Caenorhabditis elegans: one gene and its partners. The protein of the gene in region 2 interacts with the protein of the main gene of each other region in a pairwise test. Each region holds a gene or a part of one and is shown on either strand. Other genes may lie near its edges.

Region 1 (7,979 bases), on a different chromosome or scaffold from region 2:
CTACAACATTGTGAAGTGATGCTTCGGGACGTTATTCATAGTCTCGATATTGATAAAAAGTTTGAAGACATGAGTGAAAGAAGCGCTGGAAATTATGATGTTCCGATTATTCCAATTTCTGCATGTATCATCTCAAGTCATTATTGGCCAAAGTTGGAAACTGAAAAAACAGAAGCGGTGAGAATATTGCAACAATGTTACAATATGAAAAATTATTTCAGTTAATGCCTCAACCATTGCAAGCTGCGATGGACGTTTACCAAGAAACTTATCTGGACGTGAAGCGCGACAGAAAATTAGAATGGTTAAGAAGTGTTGGGTAAGTTTCATTTGTTGAATTATCATGTGAATTTTAACTTTTTAAAGATGTGTAGAGGTTTCTATCAATATCGATGGAGTTGAAGTAGATCGAACAATTCCAAATATGTACGCTCTTCTCCTCTTCTTGTTCCTCGAAAAAGAAACATGGACAACTGCTGAAGTAGTCGAGAAAATGGGAATGTCAGTGGTTGTGACAAGAAAACGATTGGAATGGCTGGTTAAACAAGGATTTATTTGCATGGTAAAATAGAAAATTATTAAGTTATCATATAATTTCATTCTCAGAATCCCATTATCAGTAGCGACACGTGGACATTGACCCGGAATCCAAGTGGAATTTCCATCGTTCGACCAGGCACACCGGACCTTGAAGACGATGAAGATGTGGAACCGGAAGAGAATTCTGATATGGTTGATGCTTTAGAACAATATTGGGGATATACTAGAAATTTCATTGTAAGTAAAACTTAAAATATATAAGAATAAAAAAATCAATTTTCAGGCCAATCATGCACCTAACGGAGAAGTGAAAGCGGAACGGATGCATCGTGTCTACCGTATGTTCGGTTCTCCAACTTCTGCAGGACCCACTCTTGATCATGTTTCCGCGTTTTTGCAAAGAAAAGTTGCGCTGGGACTGCTAACCTGCATTAATGGGTCATATCGTATCATTCAGGAAAAGAAAGACGGCGAATAACTTCTTTCATTTTATAATCTTGAAATTTTTTTTTTCTAAATTTAAACAAAGCTGGTATTTATGATGATCTAATTCTATAAAATATTTCAAAACAATTTATTAAAAAACAACAAAAAATGGCACAGTCGATTTTGAGATTCAAGAGGATCCAAAGAAATAAAAAAATTTAAACAAAAACTATTCGAGATCAAAAATTTGTGCAAAGATGAAGCATCGTCGTTTATTCAACGTTTGACTCTCTTCAATCTTTCGACGTATTACATTTCCGTGATAAAGATGAAGCGACTTGGAGAAGAGAAAATTCTGCAAATCATATTTATATTAATTCAGTCTGAACACTTTTTTTCCGAACCTTCACAAAAATTTTGCACTTATCGAACCATTCTGTGTACATGCGACTTGATTGTCCTCTCATCATTTTTTGATACAAATCGTACATCTTTTCACACGTTCTTCTCGAAAAGTCCAGATCATCTCTATTCGAACTTCTATTCACATTTGATGATATATGTCTTTCCAAGAGATCGTCAGCCAGAAATGACACGTGGATCTGTATATCTTCACTGCATGGTATCGGGATATCAGACAAATCAAGTGGTACTGTAAGGCGAACTTTAACTGCCAAATCAGCACTTCCACAGTCTCGGCAACTCTGAATAAAGAGAATGATAATTGCCAAAAAGAGATCGAAATTGAAATATTACACAATCTTCCTTTAGCATCTCGACAAAATGACCTGGGGCGTGTGATTGGCAGACCTTTGTGAACACAACATATTGAATGTTCTTTTTCGAGTAGTGGTTCCAGTCAAATGTGTACATGCTGAAAATATTATTTGTTTGCAAAGGATTTTAAAAAATCGAATTTTCGCAAAATAAAACTAACTAATCAAGATTCATAATGGAGAACTTTTGTATACTTTTCTGAAACAATGACATCACTTCGACGTATTTCGATTTAACACCTGAAAATAAGAGTGATTTTAAATCAGACAGTCTATAACTGACCACTACTTTTTGATGATGGCTGATTTATATCACTTATTCCTTCATCAATATTCTCTCTTGTCCCTACTCCAGGAATATTCTTATACTTCGATAGTTTTTCTGGGTTATCTCTCTCAGCAGTAACACGAGCCAGGTTGTCGAAGACATTAGAAGCAAATGTTATTTTATCAGAAGGTCGTTCTGAAATATGTCTTTAATTTTTTTAAAACTAATTAAAGTGAAATTGAAACCTTCTGTTCTCTTCCTCTTATCAGTTTGTTCAATATCTCCAGACGTCCTCCGTTTTCTTTCCTTTTTTCGATTAAATCCTAGGCAACTATGAACACTATCCGAAAGTGGAGAGGAACTGAATTCCGTTTGCCTATTTTCTTCATCGGTTCTGGAAAGCTTATTCATTTCATGAGGATTAGGGCTGTGCAGCAACCGGCAATTGCCGAAGTTGCCGAACCCAAAAATTTTCGGCAACCGGCAATTGCCGAAGTTTCCGAACCCTAAAAATTTCGGCAACCGGCAACTTTTGGTTGCCGAAAATTCGGCAACTTGGTTGCCGGTTGCCGCACAGCCCTGATGAGGACCAATATTTCAAAGTGACATACGGTAAAATCTCAAAACTCTGGTCGTTAACCCAACTAGCACAATATGATGCACATTCTGAAGATTCTGGGAGAGCGACTGATGGTTTAGGTATTGCTTTGATTGTTTTCGCAGCTTCGGATGGACTGTTAATTTCACCAAAGAATTTATTGAAATCTTGAGGGTCTCCCGTTGCGGCAGAACCTGAAGTTGAAAGTCTTCAATTTTATATTCATATGTATAACTTTAACTTACTTTCTCCGGCAGAAAACGACATCTCGCACAAGAAAGGAAAAAAGTCTAGGTCCTAGAATTATGTTATAGAGTACTGTAGACAATTGTGTGCAAACACTATGAGGGATGTTGCACAGTAGACACCACATTGTACGACATTTAAGAGTTTTTCTTTTTCTTCAATTAGTTTTTCTTTGCTTGTATTTTTCCTGATTTGTCATTTTCTCTCTTGAGTTGATATTGTTTTAAAGTTTAAAACGTTTAAAATAATTCATTTTTCAGCATTGAAAAAGGAAGTCTGTGTATGCAGCGGAAAAACAAGGGATAAATGTCATCGCGGTATTCAGGTTTGTACACTTGAGTATTAAAGCAAATTTCAACGCTTTTGATAATTTCAGAACGAAATGGACTATCGGAGACGGAGAAGATGACTCTTCCCAAAGTACGCAAGAGGAAGGCACAACTTGTCGATGAAATTGAGGCGCTAAAAAATGAGGTGTGAAAACTAATTAGTTTTAATGAATGTTTTAGCCAAACAAAAATCTTTAGAACGGAAATCTTCACTTTTCTATTTTAAATAATATTTTTCAAAATTATATTAATCAATTCTCTGTGATGCCTTTTACGGTTTTGTTTTTGCATTCTAAAAATTTAGATTTTTGTTATAAATATCGAAGAATATTTCTAATAACTGAAACTTTGATAAGCTATCTTTGATTTCTAAAAAAAACAATAAATTTAAAAAAGCAAAATGACGTTCTCCATGTGTGCTATTTTAAATTCTGTCTATTACGAAATATGTCAACATATTAGGTACGAGAAGTTGACGAAGAACTCGATCAAGTATATTACACCCATCCAAAATCAAAAGAATATCACAAAATAGTGGTGAATGGCCGAAAAAAGTTCAATCAAGACCCATGGAAAGCGTTGGATTGGTTGGCATCAAGAAATGTAGTTGCAAAGGATCCTCAAGCATTGGCGCTCTGGATGAAAGCTGTGAGTTTTCTTATTTTTTAAAACAATTATTTAATAGAAATCTATTTATTATGTTTTCAACTGCAATTTTTCAGGGCGAAGGACTTTCTAAAAGTGCGATCGGCGAAATACTGGGTGATAACCGTCCATTTGCGTTGGAAACCCTTGACAGATTCACAAAAGAACATAAATTGCATGATGTTCCGATTGTTCCAGCTCTTCGTCAATATCTATTTTCCTTCCGGCTACCTGGCGAATCGCAGAAAATTAATCGAATTTTGGAGAAATTTGCAGAAGTTTACGCGAATCAAAATCCATCATATGGAAATGCAGATCAAGCACATACAGTAGCATATTCATGTATTATGGTTAATACATTATTACATAATCCAAACGTTAAAGATAAACCATCACTGGAAAAATATATTGAAATGAATGAGGTTGGTATAGGATGAAAATTGAAGAAAAAACATTTTTAATGAAATTAAATGGAAAATTTCAGCAACTTCTCGAAAAAGGTGCAATTACAATCGAACAGCTCACAGAAGTATATGAATCAGTTAGTGTTACACAATTCAAGATCCCAGATGAAGTATCGACAAGTGGAAAAGGAACTGTGAACGATATTCTATTACATGCTGAACGAGAAGGATGGCTTTTCAAGCAGAGTAGTAATCCATTATTTTCTGGTGCTCTTTCGTGGAAAAAACGATGGTAAGGTTTTGAATATATTTATTAGTAGCATACTTTTTAAAGATGGAACCGTATAACCGAAATATAACTGTTTAAAAAATTATTAGTTTTCTACTAAATATTATGATTTTTTAAATTTTGCAAAAATAGGAAAGGCTAAATTTGAATTCCGTTTTCAGACTAAATTTATTGATTTTGGTGATTTTTTCTCGGATATTCGATTAAAAGCTCGCTTTTCCAATTTTTAAAAAACAATTTCTCCGTTAAAAAACTTGATAACCAGAAAGAATATTGGATTAAAAATCGATTTTTTGATAGTTTTTTTTTTGTAAAAATGTGTGTAAAAATTTAACATTCGGTTTTAACCAGAAAACGCAAAAATGGCGAAAAACTTTTTTCTTTTGCAAAATTGAAAAAATCATTTTAAAATGTTTAAAAAAATTTTATTGCAATTTTTTTAAATAATAAAAATGTTTTTTCGGTCATTGAGGTCAATATGTATCTTTTAAAAGAAACTCCTCATCCGAATATACTACACTTTAAACCATTTTTCACATTGTTTCATGAACACAAATAATCCTTAACTTTATTATAGGTTTGTTCTTTCTGAGAATTGTCTCTACTACTTTGACCAAATGACTGATAAGGAACCAAAGGGAATCATCACATTGGCAAATGTTGGAATACGGAAGGTCGAGGCACCCTCCAGGCCATTCATGTTTGAGGTTTAAATTGCTGAATTAAATTTCAAAGTTAATTTTTCTTGAATTCCAGATATTCTCTCTATCGGATGGACAAATCAAAGCATGCAAAACAGAACAAGATGGGCGGCTTGTCGAAGGACGTCATTCGATTTACAAAATATGTGCAGTAAATGATGAAGATATGAGATCATGGATCAACGCAATATCACGAATGATGGCACCGCAGCAACATTTATTAGCCAGACCAAAAAGTACCCACTGAAACATTTTGAACAATATGATTGCAAATATGAACATTTCTGTAATTTTGTATTCTGAAATTGAGACCGGGAACAATCAAATATTTTATATATTGTTTCTATTCTCGTATTCAGTATCTTAATTTAACTTCTCCATTCAAAAAATACTTCTATAATCTGTTATCCTCCACCAAAACGAGTCATTTTAGGCCTTTCGCACTTATTTCCTTTTTTTTCATACAAAAAAACTCACTTATGTGTACTTTTTCCATAATAACCGTATTCTCAATTTTTCGAAATAATTTCGCCTGAATTAATTATGTAATCATTTAATAATCAGCTTTTTCTCTCTTCATTCTTGTTTTTTCTGTTTTTTTTTAAAGATTCTACAGAAAAAGCGTCCATTTTTCCTTTTTGCCTTTTCTTTTCATCTATCGGTTTGTGACCCACTTGATATTTTTTCGAGACTTCAGTCATAACTTTCATAACTTTTTTCAGAAAATATGGGGTTCACATTGAAAAGTTTAGAATTTTTGCAAGGTGTTGAACCGTTTCGAATCGATGAAAATCATGAAAACGAAGGAGCATCGGAAGAAGAAGAAGTTCTTATTTCTGCCGAAACCGATGCTGGAATGTCGTTAATGTTAGGTCAGTGTGTACTTTTAGAAACCTTAATTTGAAAAATAAATGTCTTTAGAATGGAAAATGCGTTTGTCAGAAGACTCGGACCAGTGTACAACATGTAATTGTCCAGTGGATTTTGGTGATCGAGCTGTTCTTTTAGAGCATTATCAATCACTTTTTCATAGGTATTCTCAGTTTTTACAACTCACATAAATACAATATTTCTAGAACAAATACTCTTCGAAAAGCTAGAAACATGACAGTCTACACTGAAGAAGATTTTGAAGGAATCGAAAATTCAGAAAATGGTATGATCTCCGATATGAATGTAAATTGTAAATTAAGTATTACCAGATCTCACATCTTCACAAACTACAATTGGATTGGAATCTGACGATGAAGAATTTGATGCATTGCTTTTACCTGCAAATCGGTCGTTTTTCATTAAAAATGGCTCCGTTTTTTCGGTTCCAAGGTAAAATCAAAAAAATTCTGAAAGTTAACAAAATTCGTTTTTTAAAATTAAATTTTGTTTAAGAAAAAACACAAGAAAAAAAAATTTTTTCTAAAAAAAAAAATAGCCACACTTTGAAACCATGCTTCAAAAATCGGATTAAAATTACTTTCTCTATAATTCCAATTTTCTATAGTTTCCCTGTCTTTTTCTGTACATTTTTCTACAGTTTTACCAATTTTTAATTTTCGAAAAATCTAAAATGTTTGTTTTTCAATTTTTCCGAGAAACGAAAACGAAAAATGGTTTTTCGCCAAAAACACCAACAAAAAGAAACGAAGAATGAAACTTCTTGTAATTCTGAACCCTGGACACAGTAAATAAATCTTAATAATTTTATCATCCTCTTTCAGGAATATTCTCCACGTGGGTGAGCGAGATGTCTCTTCAGTCACATTCCTTCGTCCATTTGATTGTGCCATTTTTCTTTGGAATGGTGGTCACTTCGCTGCTGCAATGTTTGAAAAGTGAATTCTTTCTTTTCTAATTAATTTTATAAATTCTGATTATTTCAGTGATAAAATGACTGTTCAAAAGTCATTCCATAGATATGTGGCTCGTGCCAAACAAGGAGGAGTCCAATCTCAACATGATTCTGGTGGTAAAGGGGCTGCGAAGAGTGCCGGAGCTCAATTGAGAAGGTATTTCGTGAAAATTTCTAACCTTTTGAATACTTCTATATTTTTTTTAGATACAATGAACAAAAAATGAAGGAGGAAATTCAATCGATTATGTCAAGTTGGAAATCTCGTCTTCAGAAAACTCCATTGCTTTTCATCAGATGTGCTGCCTATCATCGTAATATTTTCTTCGAAGCAGACGCTGGAATTGAGACAAGAGATGATCGGATTCGAACTATTCCATTCGAAACAAAACGTCCAAATATTGATGAAATCTCAGACTGCTGGCAACGGCTTCAACAAGTTTCAGAACATGGAGCAGAGTCTGATTTTCGAGCAGAAATGCTGGAAGTACGAGAAAAACGAAAAAAGTTGGCGAGGAAAGTTGCTGGAAAGAAGAGAAAAGATGGAGGAATGCAGATGATTTGTGAATGGAGTGATGATGATGAAAATGAAGATATTTCAAAAGAGAAAAAAACGCATCATATCAAAGTTAGAACGATAAAGAAACCAGAAGAAACGGTTGTTCAATGGCCAAGGTTAGATGATGAATGGAGACAAAAGGTATCGTTTTAATTTATTTCTAAATATGAAATGTAGTCGTATGGGAATTTTGTTTCAAATCATCGAAAACGGACCGTAATGGCCGGATATAACTTTGAAAAATTGAAAAAAAAATCCAGTGTTTCTGCGAAAAAATCCCATCCCTACTTCACTCTCAGTAGAGTTTTCAATAAAAATTTTATTTAAAAAAAAATTATTTCAGACCTATAAC
Region 2 (6,481 bases):
ATCTTACTCTCGATTGTTTGTTCAAGTAGAAATGAAATTTTTTCGTCTTATCATTTCCAGGACACGTGGGAGGAAGTACGTCTTTCATTTTTTTTGTCACGGCGGAAACACAGCTGTTCCAAGTTTCTCGTCATTTCAATGTCTAGTTGCACATTTTGATCTTCGTTTTTTCGAGTTATAAGAAAACATTTTTTGTTCCGAAAAAAATTATAAAATGTCTGATATTAATATGAAAAAATTTGGAAACAATAACAGTGGGGTTATCGGAACATGTCGAGAAGCGAACAAATAATATAAGAGATGTATCGAGAAACGAATACGGGAGCGAAAAAAATGTAGGGGAATCGGATGAAAGATATTTAGTGAATGTTACAAGTGTTGGAAATGAGACATTCAGAAATTGGATTGTGGCTCCTTCAACGCCAAGCATCGGTTCTTGTAGACAGAATGTCTCTGATCCATATTTTCTCTCTGCTCCAGAACCTAGATGGCACATCAATCAGCAACATTCCTCGAAATTCGAGTTGGGTGGAATGCGGAAAGGTTGGTGCAACCACCATCTGAAAATTAACTTGCTGATTGATAACTTTTTGCTGCCTTTTTACCTCAAAGTTGCTTGCTTTGGACACTTCGAAAGACCCCAACAATGCTTTCTTGATGACAATGTCCGCTTTGATGCTCTGCGAGTGGAATGTCACATCAGCAGTTCCCTAAATTGATTGGTGATACATTTTTGTGGTTCTCAGAAACTCACAGTTTGCTTGAAAACGGCATCATCCACCAAGAAGGCATCCTCTGGGAATGTGCTCCTCTTGGTGTTCATTTCCGTTATCACCGTGATTTGATCAACACGGAACTTGCGGTCTTCGAACGATGCTTGGAAAATCACAATCTGAATAATTGTTAATCTGGTTTTGAACAACACAAAATTCCTACATCAAGTTGCTTATCCCAGCAAGTGTACTTCTTCAAAGCAATTCGAGCCGATCCACTGATAACGTCCATCAATCCAAGTGAATCATTCCAAATGAACCAACTTCTCTCGCTTGTCTGATCTTCGCGCCCAATTGGATGAACAAGCATTCCACGTCCTTTAATACTGATTTTGTTTGGAGCAGGAAGCTTTGCAGAAATGATACAATTTGGATGCCCAAAGAAACGAAACTGAAATTTCAATGTTTGAAAATTAAAATTTCGTATTATAACTAACTCCTCCATATTCGCCTGGATTAATGACCATGAAGTAGACATAATCTTTTGTATCTGCGCGGGTGTCCGGAATTCTAATATGACCGAGACGTGATGAGTACACGTGAAGCATTTTGGGATCCGATTGACTATCTCTCTGGATCATTCCCTCTGCTAAGAAGGGATACGTTGCCTTGAACTTGGTGCGTACATTGCTCTCAAAGCTAAAAAATCGTGTTCTATTAAAATAATAATTCATTAGGACAACTCACTAAGCGTCTGTAACATTTTTCAGCTCTGTGTTATCCATATTGATAAGAATATCTGTCGCCAAATTGCAGTACTCTGTTTGGTTCATTTGTTGAAATGCTTGGACGGTAGACGAGGAAGATGTACCACCTTGTTGACCAGTTTCTGATGATTCCCATAGAGTACCCATTGAATTCGGAATGACACGAGAATTCTAAAAAATGAATTTAATTTAAATCCCATTTTCTTAATTTTTTTAAACCATTTGCTGTTGATCAAACTGATTTGATGTTCCTTGATTCATACTAAGTTCATTCAACTCTCGCCGGAGAAGTTCTTCCCTCTCTTGGGAACGTAGACGAGCAGTTAATTCAGTGAACATGTTAGGAAAAACCGTTTGACCCGGAAGATATGGAAGATCAATGTTTTCAATACTCTTTCCGCTGGCAATGAATGGTATTGTTTTATTTGGATCGATGACGTCATTGTTTTGAGAAATGTTAATAGCAGCATCATTTGACTCAGAAAGCCATGTACTTTGTTCAATTTGTTCTGCTGGAATCAATACACTTGGACGCTGCAACTAAAAAATTTTGAGAGAACTGCAAAGCTCTAATTTACCGGGAACTGATGACGCTGGACCATTTCAAAAACCCCATCGAGATCAGCGTTCAACTCGGAAGACGGAACTTCACCCTGATTGTTGGCTCCATGATGAATATTTAAGTTGTTCACTTCTCTTATAATTTCAGCTGGAGCTTCATCCACTTTAGGCTGAACTGAACCGAGTTTGCGTGTCTGTCAATAAAATTCATTAAACGGGAATTAAAAGTTAAAACCAACCAGGACAGGAATTGATTGAGATGAAAGACGACGTTGTGATGAAGCTGCCAAAGTGGAACTGGAAGGAACAAGCGCAGTATCTAAGGCTGGGACAGATTCGGAATTCGACAATTCTTGGATTGGGAGAAGCCTTTGTGTGAACGAGTTTCTCACTCCAGCAACTTGACTACTAGTGGGCACCTCTGACGATGTAAATGATTGAATTTCCTGTCGAAGAGATTGAGGTGGTACTTCACTTGAGCGAACCATGTTCTGGAAACATATTTTATCAATCAGAATATGAAAACAAAGTAAAACCGTTTGCGCGATTTGCTGAGGAACAGAAGTACTGGTTGGTAGAACTGCTTCACCAGAGAGTACAGGTGGAGGAAGCGGCTGGGATAAATCTGAAAATCGACTTGAAACTTAGGTCATTAAAAGTTTCCACAAACCTCTCTGATTACCAGCGAGATATCGCTGAGGATTCATACAGAAATTCCTCGTAAACTCATTTACTTGTGCTATATATTCAGCATAAGAATCATTCATCGCGAATGATCCTTATTTTGACAAAAATCAAGGGAATTTTCACAAAAGTAGGAAAAGTATTTAGGAACGAGTTTTCGAAAGCTGAAATTTCGAAAGCGTGTCATGTGTTTGCGTGTTTCAGTAAATACCGTAACCTTCATATATTTCAACAACAAATAAGAAAAGGTGCGCACGCGCTAGTCATTTGTTTGGTCTTTTAGTCGTTTATTTTTTTGCATGATGATTGTGTTTTAGTCACTTTTTACTTAAGTTTAATAATTTTATATGCTTTCTTCTAAAGTTATTACCGAATTTCCCATTATAAACTTTGCGCGTCGAATCTGGCGCTTGCGTACATGTTTCTCGTCTCTAGCTTTTCCTTTCATCTTCTCACCAATTTTACAACTTATCGACTTTGTTTCGAGTCTTGTGTTGTTTAAACATTTAAAAAACTCTAAAAACATGTTTTTTTGTTTAATATATGTTATTTCAGAGTTTCTGCTTTTATGGATCACATCGACGCTCATAGTGCGGTTTCCACGAGTTCGAGCTCTTCAAAATATGATACGCCGGATGACAATATTTCTGAACAGCGACTATTGTGTGACGCAAAAGTAATTATTTGATTCTCCATTGAAGAACAACCATAATATTCGTTACTACAGGAAGAATATCCACTGAATGATTATCTTTTCGATGGGATCAATCAAGAATCCGCACAACGGAGCCTTCTTCTATGTCGTCAAACATTTGAAACTTCCTTTGGCTTTGCTCTCCAATCATATGTATTCAAAAGAACATCTTCAAACAGTTACGAAAGAATAACTTATGTGGATTACGTGTCGGCTGATAGCCCAGCTGATCGCTGCGGGATAACACGAGGTATTCAATCATTTAATTCAGCTTTTCCTGCCAACTACTGCAATTTTAGGCGACATGGTCATTGCTGTCAATGAAAAAAGCGTCGTCACTGCCTCCCATGCAGAAATCGTCGAATCAATTGCTCAGTGTCTTCAAGTCAGTCTCGTTCTGGTCTTCAAAGATGTAGCAAGAATCGTGGAATTGAGCATGCGGTCGATTCAGTTACGATTCATGCTCGATGCAAAAATTAGAGAATTGAGGATGCTCGAAAAGACGGAAGAAGATTTGCAAGCATTATATGACGATGAACGTAAGTCGAGTTTACGGTTATTATTTTGATTATTTGTAACAATTTTAGATGGCAATGAGGAGGAAGACGAATCACTTGAAAGCACGCTTTACGAACTTGATGAGGAGCTAAAAAATGTACAAAATCCACAAGAAAAGGAAGCAAACGGCACTGATTATCGCCATCTCATTCGCATCAACAGTAGCACGTCTGTTGGAACTCCCCAAGTCACGCGTCTCTAGTAAAATCAATGTCTTTCATATTTTCACGTTTATCTCTGAACACTCATGGGTAAACATGTATACTCTAATTATATATTTCGATCCCTGGTACATAGTTGTACATATATGTATTTTAACTTCCTGTCTCCGCCCAAAATTTGCCATTTTATTCCCATTCCAGTCATTTTGATTCCCACAAACCTGTGATCATGGTTATGATTCTAGCCTGCCTGTTATACTATTAGTTTCAGGAAATAACATGAAGTTTTATCTACTATTCCTGACACAATTATTTCAATTATCCATGAGGTTCTGTGCCTTTTCTACTTTTTCGTTTGTTTTTCCTTGACAAAACTACTTTTTTTCAAACAGATGCACTCATTGTCAAGGATTCTTCTTCATCGCAGTAACAGTGTGCTCAATTCGCCTACTTTTCTTGTTGCTGTTAGGTAGACCTTTTCATCATTAAAACCTGTTTTATTCTGAGTATCCGTTAAATTCAATATTATCCCTCTAAAAAATGTGTTCTACTTCAGACAAACATCAGCCGGTCCACCTCCAGCCACTCCAGCTAAAGAAGGATCCTTGACCTACAAGTATGAACAATTTATTGGAAAATGGCCTAAAGTGTTGGCACTTCACAGGACTGTTCTTGAAGGTGAGGGAGTTCTCCGATTAACTTACTTACTTTTGAAATTCAAAAATGACATTTTCTGATCTTTTTTATTTTTATTCAGAGATCTTGACATGCTCTCTTAAAGTCGCACGGATTTATTCAGATGGGTCTCGGCGCAAAGTTTATGGCAACTTAAACTTCGCCCCGTGACTCATCTGAATAAATCCGTACACCTTCATGAAGGAATGCCAAAATCGTGTAAGATTACAATATCATCTTGTGAATCATATATTCAGGCTCTCGATGGTGCTTTGCCGATGTGAAAATGTATTTCAAGACGAAACGAGCTGTGGCTACCGGTCAGAAGAAGCTCACAGATCTCAGCGTTGAGGAATTGGAGACACTTGTTCAGGTAGAAATAAACTACGGAAAAGGGTCTATTCGTTGTTCTTTTTCTTCATGAATAGACTCAAATTCTCCCTTTTTGTTTTTATTTTCTATTACAAGGATAGTCAAAATACTAGCAAATTATCTAGAGTGGAAGCGAATTGATCAAAATGCTCACACTCATTGTGATTCTACAAATTCCTGGTCCTGGCGACATTCTAATTCTTATGTTGTGAGTTGTCCTAACATTTTTGGAATATTTTTTGTCGGTGTTGTTAGTTATTTTTAATTCCGTTTTCTTCTTTTATATAAAAAATTTGGGAGCGTTCTTTGGGGGTTTTGCTTTAAATTATAGATACGAAAAAGTATATAGAATTGTACATGATTTTTTTTTCAATCTTTCAAAAACAAAGGAAACGGTTTAAACGGGCTTTACTTCCCGCGCAATAAAATTCTGGCTAAATTCTTTTTTTTATTTCTTCTTTGCTATTTGGTTTGAAACATTTGACTCAGGCGTTTTTAAAATTTTTTTGTTTGCAGCATTAAAATAACCTTTTTTTTTTAATTAAATAAGTTGTTCAAAGCAAAACCCCCAAACAACTACTCCACCTTTAATCCTAACTGGACGGCAAACTCGCAACTAAGAATCTCCGTTTTGGCGTGTCTTTTCTCCCTCAATTTCATCACCAAACAGCTTCGAATCTAATTAGAAAACATCTAAATTTCAGTTTTTTAAGCTGAAAACCTTTTACAATGTCTTATTCCATTCAATAATTGGAAAATAATTTTTCGTTTATACAGTCGGGATCATTTTTCTATTCGGTAGATTTATAATTAATAATGGAAACGTTATTGAAATAATATAAAAGTAGTCTAATTAGATTCGAAACTGTTTGAGTTTCTCGCTCTTTTCAGATGCCAGTCGAAGGACCCAAAATGGCGATTGTTACTGCGTTTTTGCCTGTGCCACTCAGTGTTTACGTCTTTGCATTCGCCATGTATGTGGAAATGATTTCCATTATTTATTTTATTTTCTCACTATTTAATCCCAATGTTTCGACACAAAGTTTATTTTAGAATCTTCTTTCCTCGCCTCGTGCTTACTCGTCATTTTTGGTCTGACCAGCAGCGACGAGAATATTTCCAATTGGAAGTGACCAAAGCTCTGATCAGTGGAGAGCAACTGCTTAAAACATATGGAAATGTGAGTTGTCTTCTTTTTCTCTTTATTATAACAATTACGATTAATTTCAGCCTTCGTCGACTGATGAGAACAAAATGAAGCCTCTCGATAAGCTTGATAGTAGTGAAATGGTATAT
Region 3 (7,928 bases), on a different chromosome or scaffold from region 2:
CACGGTTATAAACAAATACAATTGGATAATTGGTGGAATATTTAAATAGTGAGCAAATCCAATTGTACTACTTGCAGAAAATGGTAGATATGTAATTGGAATTATGAAGCAAGATCCTATGGTCAAAGAAACAACGGTATACCAAAAGTTCAGATTCAATAATCCCATTTTAATTGATTTCCTGCTTTCTGGAGTTTTCCTTGTAATGCAAAAAAATGTGAGAAATAGAATAGGTAGGGAGAGTAGAGAAATTGAACATGCGACGGTTTTTAGTCCTTCTACGGATGCTAAATATCGGGTATCTGGAGGGCATTTCAACGGGTATACGTTAACGAAATAATCCGATAGAGAGATGATTTGAGTCATTTAGATTTTTCTTTTTTTTACATTCAATTTTTAGCGACGAGAAAAAGACAAATACTATAACGTCACCGAGACTGAAATTCCTTTTAATGAGTAGTTACAATGCGTTGTCTAGAAAAAGAAATGAGCAAACACCTTTTTTTTCTTAATGTTGATTTATGTTTTTTCTGGCAAAACTGCTTCTGACAAAACGAAGAAACTCTGAAGAACTGAAAAAAAGAACTGATTGGGGTGTCTTGGAGCTCGACGGCGTGATATAAATTTTTGGTCACGGCAAATGGCTGAACTTCCCGTTTACAGAATATCAATTTTAAATGTTTCCTTCCGTTTTTTTTTCCGTACTAGCTAGCATACTTTGTTTAGTATTTTCTGGTGTAAATGACAATTCTGAACAATTTTATGAAAGAAAAAGAAGCGTTTCCTATGATTTTCCCGAACTTTTGGAATTATGAAAAATACAGCTTTTGGTAAAATTCTGAATTTTTTAAATATATCCTGTACTAGCTAGCATACTTTGTTTGGTACTTTTTCATAGATGTTTTCTTAGAATGTCCACTTTTTTCTTGATAGTTCGCTTTTGCCGTTTTAAAATGAAATGCCAAAATTTTCATTACAAATTGCAAACCAGAATTCATCATAAATGAAAGTTATTCAGAATTTGCTGCAAGTCTTAATATTAAGTGAATGAATAAGTATATTTTTATTGTGATAAGTTTGTTCCAACTAAAAATTATAAACCACAAATGTATTCTTTTAGGGCATTTTGATATCTTAATTTCAATTTCGCCCTCCAAAAAAAAGGAAACTTTTGTGGCATTTGGAAAACTGTGGCAGAAGTAAATCAAAAAATTTACTGCATGGCAAATAAATATATAAGTAAATATATAAATACGATGATTCGGCCCATTTTTTGTTTGGAAAACAATCTAATTTTTATCGTAACGCTGTCAAACCATTATGAAAAGTTGTCGCAAAGTTATGAAACAATTGCGAAACGGTATTTTTTTTTGAAACATTTGTAACGTCTCATCGAATGAAGTCAATCGAATTAAAAATTGTTATCCCTTTCTGCTCCAGAAATCGAAAAGTGAATTCACAGGTGTACAAATTAAGACATGCGCAACAAAATGAAAATATCAAAAAAAAAACTTCTGAAGTTAAACATTTTTTGAATTTGTTTTCAGTTCATGAAAAGCTTGTATCTCGAGTAATAATTCAATTCTACCAACTTCTTTTTCACAAATCTACTACTTAAAACATGCCCTACAAAATGGAAACATCAAAAAAAAATTTCTGAAGTTAAACAATTTTTCAACTTTTTTCAGTACAGGTACAGGAAATGCCAACTTTTATATATTTATATATACAGTTCAACATTGAAAAATACAATACCAAAGAAGTCATAATACATATTACGAGATCACCAAGTGTATAATATACTCTGGACGGTAACTGTAATCCTATAGCCATGCAGAAACAAATTTATTTTTCACTACAAACTACAAAGTGCTCTTAACCTGCTCCTTCTTCTTGAAAACCAACGTAGCACGACGAGTACGGTCCGGAGAGCCAAACAGTGAGCGCTTCTTCTTCAAATGGTCCGGAATCTTTTTGCCCATCAGCTCAATCGTGTACTTTCCACTTGGCGGCTTCTTTCCTCCAAATTCTTGAACCTGAAAACAACGCTGGTAGGTAGGCACCAAGGTAGGCATCCCAATTTACCTCATAAAGGTACCCAATGACTTGACCAATAGTGTACGGATCGAAAATGTCCTCCTCGCTTTTTGTCTGCACCGGATGAAGCACATAGAATCCTTTACTGTTTGCCACAATCTTGCTCCAGTCTCCCGTAATTCCGTCGGATACGGTGTACTGGTCGCTTTGAGCCGAAAGTCGTTCATTTGCGTTGGGGAGGATAGGGTCCGCCTGAAATTTTAGAATTACTTCAGAGAAGCTATCAATTTGTGGACCCAAGCTGACCACCAAAAGGTAGAGAATTCTAGCTCAATTTTGAAGCTTCGAGGGGTACGGTAGCTCCATTAGTACGCAAACACCGAAGTTCAGCCATTTTTTTTCGAATTTTGAGCTTACAACTCTGCTTTAGACTTAAGAACCGGCGAGGAATCCGAAATTGATCATCTCCAAACTCACATGCATATATTTTCCACCTTTTCCAGGCTTGTATGGATAGTTCTTGGGCTGATAGTAGACGAGTCCTCGTGGTGGCTTAGTTGATTTGAAACTTCCGGATCCTGGCCCATTGTTGTATCCTCCAGGCTTTTGTGTCCAAGATCCTGGTCCGTTTGTGACAGGGTTCATGTTGGGTGCTGAAAGTTGATGGACCATGATTTTGGCTGAGGAATTTCAGAACTTACGGAAACTTGCACCTGGCTGGGGGTTCTGGCCACCCGGTTGTTGAGTCCATCTAGCTGGTTGGCACTGTCCTAAAATAACAAATTATTTTACATATAGACTGAACTTCTCCAAAACTCGGCAGTTTTTCCATGAAAAAGCGTCGAAACTGCGACAAACAAGAGGCATACCTTCATAAAAAAGCACAAAGAATCCGACGAAAATCGGCAAAAGGCAATTCCAACTCATGATATCCGAATTGTTGGCGTCGGTGTGTCTTCTTTTGTACGGCTCTTTGAATTCTGCTCTCCGCGATGAGAGACCAAAAAACGGGCGGTCGAAATATGAATGAGTGAACTTTTTGAGAAAATCCACCCTATTTATGGAGTTTCTTATCAAGATGGCTTAACGGGTCACGGAAAAATTTTAATTTGATTGAAATAATTTTTTTCTGATTTTTTTTTTGATTTTTTTCGGGTCACGTAGTTCATTAAAAACAGGCAATTAAAAATAAATTACCTGGTCACGGGTGCTACGTGGCATCTGCTATATAAGGCCCAAAAATCAATAGAAACAATTCATTGCCAACAACTGAGAGCACTTTTCTCTCGGCAAACCAATCGGCTCTTTGGAAGAGCTCTACTCATCATTGTACAATGCTTCATCCATCAATTGTTTGGATGGTATTTGGCGTGTGGACACTTGGTGTCAAGTCTCAAGTAATTGTGCAATCGCCCAATATTTCGACATTTGGAACATGGCAGCCATGGGCAAGATGTCCTGAAGGGCAATATGCAAATGGAATGAGAATCAAGTTTGAAGAGTGGTCGGAGGATGTCGAAATTGCTGGACTCACTGCGGTGGATCTTCGTTGTGCGGCTAAAGGTGAGGATAGTTTAGTGAAACATCGGTTAAAGTTTTGTACCTTGGCTGTAAAAACTGAATTCTGTCGATACACCATGTTCTTTGAGAGTAAATATCTTGGTTAGGTTAGAACTGATCTTTTTTTTTAGTGAAAAACTTTTTGATAGCACCAACTTGAACATAGATATTAGCTGTCAAACTGTATACCGGAAATTTGCAACTTTTCACTAGATTTACATTTTTCAGGTGGTCCACACAGTGAGGAATCAGTGATCAGTGGAGAAAGTGTCAGCGGAACTTGGCAAAATGTGCAGTACTGCCCAGATGACAAGGTCATTGTCGGATTCTCTCTGAAGGTGGAAGAGTTGCAAGGGAACTATGACGACGCCGGAGCTCTAAACTTTGCAGCTTTTTGTGGAGCTCAATTTGGAGCAAGGAACAGTAAGGTGGTACTTCAAGGTGAGTAGAAGCTAGGTAGGCTTAGGACCAAGCTTTTGTGTAAGGTAGACTCAAGAAACGATTGTCTTTCAGGCGACACAAAATCCGTCACAAGAGGACACTGGACTGAGGATCTCTACTGCCCAACTGGCTTTGCAGTCTGCGGAATTCAGGCTCGAGTTGAGAAAAATGAGACTCAAGCTGGAATTGATGATACTGGTGTGAACAATGTTCAAGTGGAATGCTGCCCGGCACCATATGACTGTGATGCAAGCTATGAGGCTAAGGAAGTGGACAAGTATCAGAATAATAATGGTGAGGAGATTGGATTTCACCTTTTCAATAAAATTTCTGGAATTTCAGATTACGAAACTTCCCACAAAGTGCTCGTCAAGTCAAAGTACGAAGGACCGGCTGCGGCGGACAAAACTGAACAAGAGTTTGTAGCCAAGAGTGAGTTTTTGTTGGAATTAACAAATTGTTTAATGGAAATTATATTTCAGAAATCATGCTTTCCCTGAAAAAGAAGTATGAGCAACTCGAGTTCAGCACTGCTCCAGCGGACTTTGTCTACACCCGAAACAAGCGTCAGGACACTGATCCTGATTATGTCGATGGTGGACTGGTTTTGGGAGAAGATGATCCAGAGAAGACCTCAGTTGCCCCAGAAGTTGAGTCCGTGGACTCCAATGGTGAAGATCTAGCTGCTTCCTCAAATGGAGAAATTTCTGAAATTCCCACAGTTGATCCAACTACCAGCGGTGAAAATTCAGAATCTGATCCAGTTTTCGAAGTAGTGGATCCAAGTTCGGCACCTCCGGCGGTGGCTAATGCAGACGAAAACGCATGGTCACAACAGGTCGAGCAAGGGAGCTCAGAGGCTCCAGTTGAGATGACAGCTACTGAGGATACAGCTGAGGAGACTAATAACGAGTCTGAAGTCGAGGCAAGCACGGAAGCTCCATTTGAGGTGGCGGCTACTGAAGATTCAAACCAGGCTCCAGTTGACCCAATCTTTACGGAAGCTCCAGCAGAAGGATCGCAGGAGGAACAAACTTCAGATGGTCCAGTGTTTATTCCTGAAGATGGATCAGTTCATTCCACGGAAGCTCCATTTGAGGTGGCCGCTACTGAAGTTTCGGAAGTTACCCATGGAAGCGGAAGTGGTCCAATGCCAGAACAGACCGATGAAGTTCCAGGACCATGGGAGCCAGTGCCATCTCCAGTTCCAGAACCAGAAGATCCAGTTCCAAGACCAGAGCTTGCTACTACTACTGAGGGACTTCCAGTTCAAGAGCCAGAAGATCCTAATCCAATACCAGAAGATACAGTGCCGGGACCAGAAGACACAACTCCAGGACCAGCTGTAACTGAGGAAATTCCAGAAGTACCAGAACCAACCGAAGAACCTCCGACTCCAACAGATTCGGAAATCGATTCTCCAACTCCAGCTCCAGCACCGGGACCAGAACCAGAATCCCCATCCAACTACCACCGGCTGAGCATTTCAATGGACGAGCTGGAAGTATTGGTTCAACAAGCAGTCGCTGGTCAGAATGTGAGTTTACTCTACTTTTTCTAGAATTTGACTTCAATTCCAAATTTCAGATGGTCATCACTCTTCCGGTTCCAGCCCACAAGAAGTTGATTGTCGAGCAGATCGTTGTGAAGTGCGATGAACATGTCATCAGCCTGCCAGCACTCATTGTCAAACATCGTTAGGTTCTTCAGTAGCCGAACTCTTGTCGAACTCTCTTTCTCTTTTTTTGTAGAATAAAATTGTGATTTTTGAAGGGATAGTTGACAACTTTTTTAGAATATTAAAACTTGATATGAGCCCTTCAAGATGACAAAAAGAATCTGGACACCTAGTCCAGCCAGAGTTTGAAATTGAATATCTCGGTTCTGTTTTGTGATATTTAAAAATGTTCAAATATAACAGAATAAAATGTAAATAACGAGTATTTGGCCAGTTGATTTTCAATAAATCCAAAACTAGCAGAAATGAGCTTCCAAATGTGGGTCTTGATGCACCTGGCACCATTTTTGGTAGGTAAACTTTGACAGTTCATATCTTGATTTATCATGGGAATCGGCTTATTATGGAAATGTTTAAGAAGGACTAAGCTTTTTCTACAAACTTTTTTGTATTGTATTACGGCAAATTGAGGTAAACCAATTCACAGGTGTACCAATTAATTTATGCGCTAAATAGAAAATAAGAATATTAAAAAAAAATTTCTGAAGTAAAACAACAATTTTTAACTTTTTTCAGTACGAATATATATGTAAAACGCTCGTATCTCGGGTATAATACTCGGCAGTAGCCCGCAATTCCTTGACCAAGGTTTGCCCACTCTTTGTCCAAATTAGCGTTTTTTACACTGACAACCCACTGGGCGCTCACTCTCTGCCCAAAGTTTAACCACTCCTTGACCAAGTTTTAACAGACGATGAGATTCACTGCGCCCCCCACTCTTTGTCCAAGGTTTGCCCACTCTTTGTCCAATTTGGCGTTTATTTACTCACAAACCACTGAGAGCCCGCTCTTTGTCCGAAGTTGGTCCACTCCCTAACCAAGTTTGTACGCGACGCCAATGCCAAGCTGAGCTGAGCGGCTTCAAACAAAAAGTTAATTTTTGTTATTCATCCAGAACGCGTGATTGTTATCATTTGAGCCAACTTTTTGCATATCGTATATTCTCTATTAGTATGGTATGGCATACTAATTTCCGGACTCCTTTTTGGCGCGATACTATTAGAGACTGCAAGACTATTAGATACCGTATTACTTATTTTTGATGGAATCTTCGAAAATAGTTCTGGTTTTTGAGAATTTACAAATTAGGAATGGGTTTGGACCGAGACACAGTGACTCGCTCTTGACTGAGTAGGTCGTCAAGACCCGGAAAATGATGGGAAATTATCGTCAAAACCCCCCTAGGACCCTCCGAAAATCAGTACTGCTGGAGTCTACTACCATTCACCGTTTGAATAACTAAATGGAATTTTTCATGTAATTTTCGATGGTTTCACACTAAATTACCAAAACCTTTAAATTGGGTGTATTTTCTGTAACAATATTATTGTACCCTTTTCACCCTTTTCATGAATTTCCACTTGAAATATTAGCTTTAGTAAGTGAATAATAATGTTCTCAACCTCAACATAGATTCATTTGGAAATTAGTACTACATTCTCTAATACTACTGCAGTTTCGGAAGGTCCGGAATTTAGTACTGCTGCACTAATAGAGAATATACGGTGGTAAGTTTTCTTTGTTGTTCGCCCCGCTGAGAGTATCTATGTTGGCTACTGTATCTTTGCTACTGTATACATAAACGCGCGCGCGAGGAGGGCTTCACAGGTAAGACGATGGACATGTAAACAATTGGAAAATGGGTACGTTGGTTCGGGTCCGCGGTGTGGCGATAGATTTCTGATTAGTTGAGCTTGCGCGAACTGGCAGAAATGAAAAAATATTTTCCCCTTGCCCAAGGTCTGCCCAAAGTCTGTCCAAGGTCTGACAGCTCTTTGTAATGGCTAAAGATAAGCTGACAGACCTTGGACAAGGAGTGGGCAAACCTTGGTCAAGGAATTGCGGGCTACTGCCGAGTATTGCAAATTGAGACAAATTAAGGCAAAATGAGTTGATTTTTATTGTGATAAGTTTGTTCCAATTAAAAATTATGAGTCACAAATTTATTGTTTTAGGACATATCGATATTTTAATAGTGTTCAATTTCTCCTTCCAGAAAATAGAAACTAAAAACTTTCGATAAGAACTATGCACGAGAAGAATGAATAAACTTGCAATCCCATAATGAATTATTGAAATCATACCGACCAAATTGTTATCTACTTGATTATATTGATCACTTCCATCTTTATTCAGAATAATCAGCACAGGT

The links.
Region 1: the proteins of gras-1 (region 2) and grp-1 interact in a two-hybrid assay, tested with the Caenorhabditis elegans proteins (one large-scale study listed by BioGRID).
Region 3: the proteins of gras-1 (region 2) and Y57G11A.2 interact in a two-hybrid assay, tested with the Caenorhabditis elegans proteins (one large-scale study listed by BioGRID).

Annotation. Positions count from the first base shown.
Region 1 is NC_003281.10:8,082,591-8,090,569, forward strand, and holds grp-1 (GTP exchange factor for ARFs 1), read left to right. Parts: upstream 1-3,114; 5' UTR 3,115-3,160; coding exon 3,161-3,179; intron 3,180-3,230; coding exon 3,231-3,328; intron 3,329-3,645; coding exon 3,646-3,831; intron 3,832-3,905; coding exon 3,906-4,250; intron 4,251-4,312; coding exon 4,313-4,524; intron 4,525-5,098; coding exon 5,099-5,228; intron 5,229-5,277; coding exon 5,278-5,469; 3' UTR 5,470-5,859; downstream 5,860-7,979. Other genes in the region: apc-2 (Anaphase-promoting complex subunit 2), read left to right, coding at 1-177, 222-319, 367-562, 607-777, 824-1,018; K06H7.7 (uncharacterized protein), read right to left, coding at 1,196-1,321, 1,371-1,670, 1,723-1,840, 1,904-1,982, 2,026-2,205, 2,256-2,404, 2,622-2,802, 2,854-2,875; tRNA endonuclease vms-1, read left to right, coding at 5,950-6,094, 6,144-6,255, 6,299-6,378, 6,425-6,545, 6,938-7,051, 7,100-7,225, 7,276-7,768, 7,971-7,979. UniProt on the Caenorhabditis elegans protein: Promotes guanine-nucleotide exchange on ARF. Promotes the activation of ARF through replacement of GDP with GTP. Plays a role in cell shedding during embryogenesis, probably by promoting the endocytosis of cell adhesion molecules.
Region 2 is NC_003279.8:7,832,534-7,839,014, forward strand, and holds gras-1 (General receptor for phosphoinositides 1-associated scaffold protein 1 homolog), read left to right. Parts: upstream 1-3,274; 5' UTR 3,275-3,293; coding exon 3,294-3,401; intron 3,402-3,452; coding exon 3,453-3,669; intron 3,670-3,718; coding exon 3,719-3,958; intron 3,959-4,006; coding exon 4,007-4,179; 3' UTR 4,180-4,434; downstream 4,435-6,481. Other genes in the region: F30F8.1 (RING-type domain-containing protein), read right to left, coding at 417-560, 606-710, 755-892, 937-1,164, 1,211-1,412, 1,461-1,651, 1,700-2,014, 2,059-2,235 and 3 more; F30F8.9 (Letm1 RBD domain-containing protein), read left to right, coding at 4,531-4,607, 4,695-4,816, 5,071-5,186, 6,077-6,159, 6,239-6,365, 6,416-6,475.
Region 3 is NC_003282.8:14,514,902-14,522,829, reverse strand, and holds Y57G11A.2 (Vitelline membrane outer layer protein 1), read left to right. Parts: upstream 1-3,290; 5' UTR 3,291-3,371; coding exon 3,372-3,600; intron 3,601-3,825; coding exon 3,826-4,038; intron 4,039-4,110; coding exon 4,111-4,332; intron 4,333-4,380; coding exon 4,381-4,470; intron 4,471-4,520; coding exon 4,521-5,575; intron 5,576-5,625; coding exon 5,626-5,739; 3' UTR 5,740-5,808; downstream 5,809-7,928. Other genes in the region: T27E7.1 (uncharacterized protein), read right to left, coding at 1,863-2,036, 2,086-2,289, 2,515-2,690, 2,739-2,807, 2,907-2,964.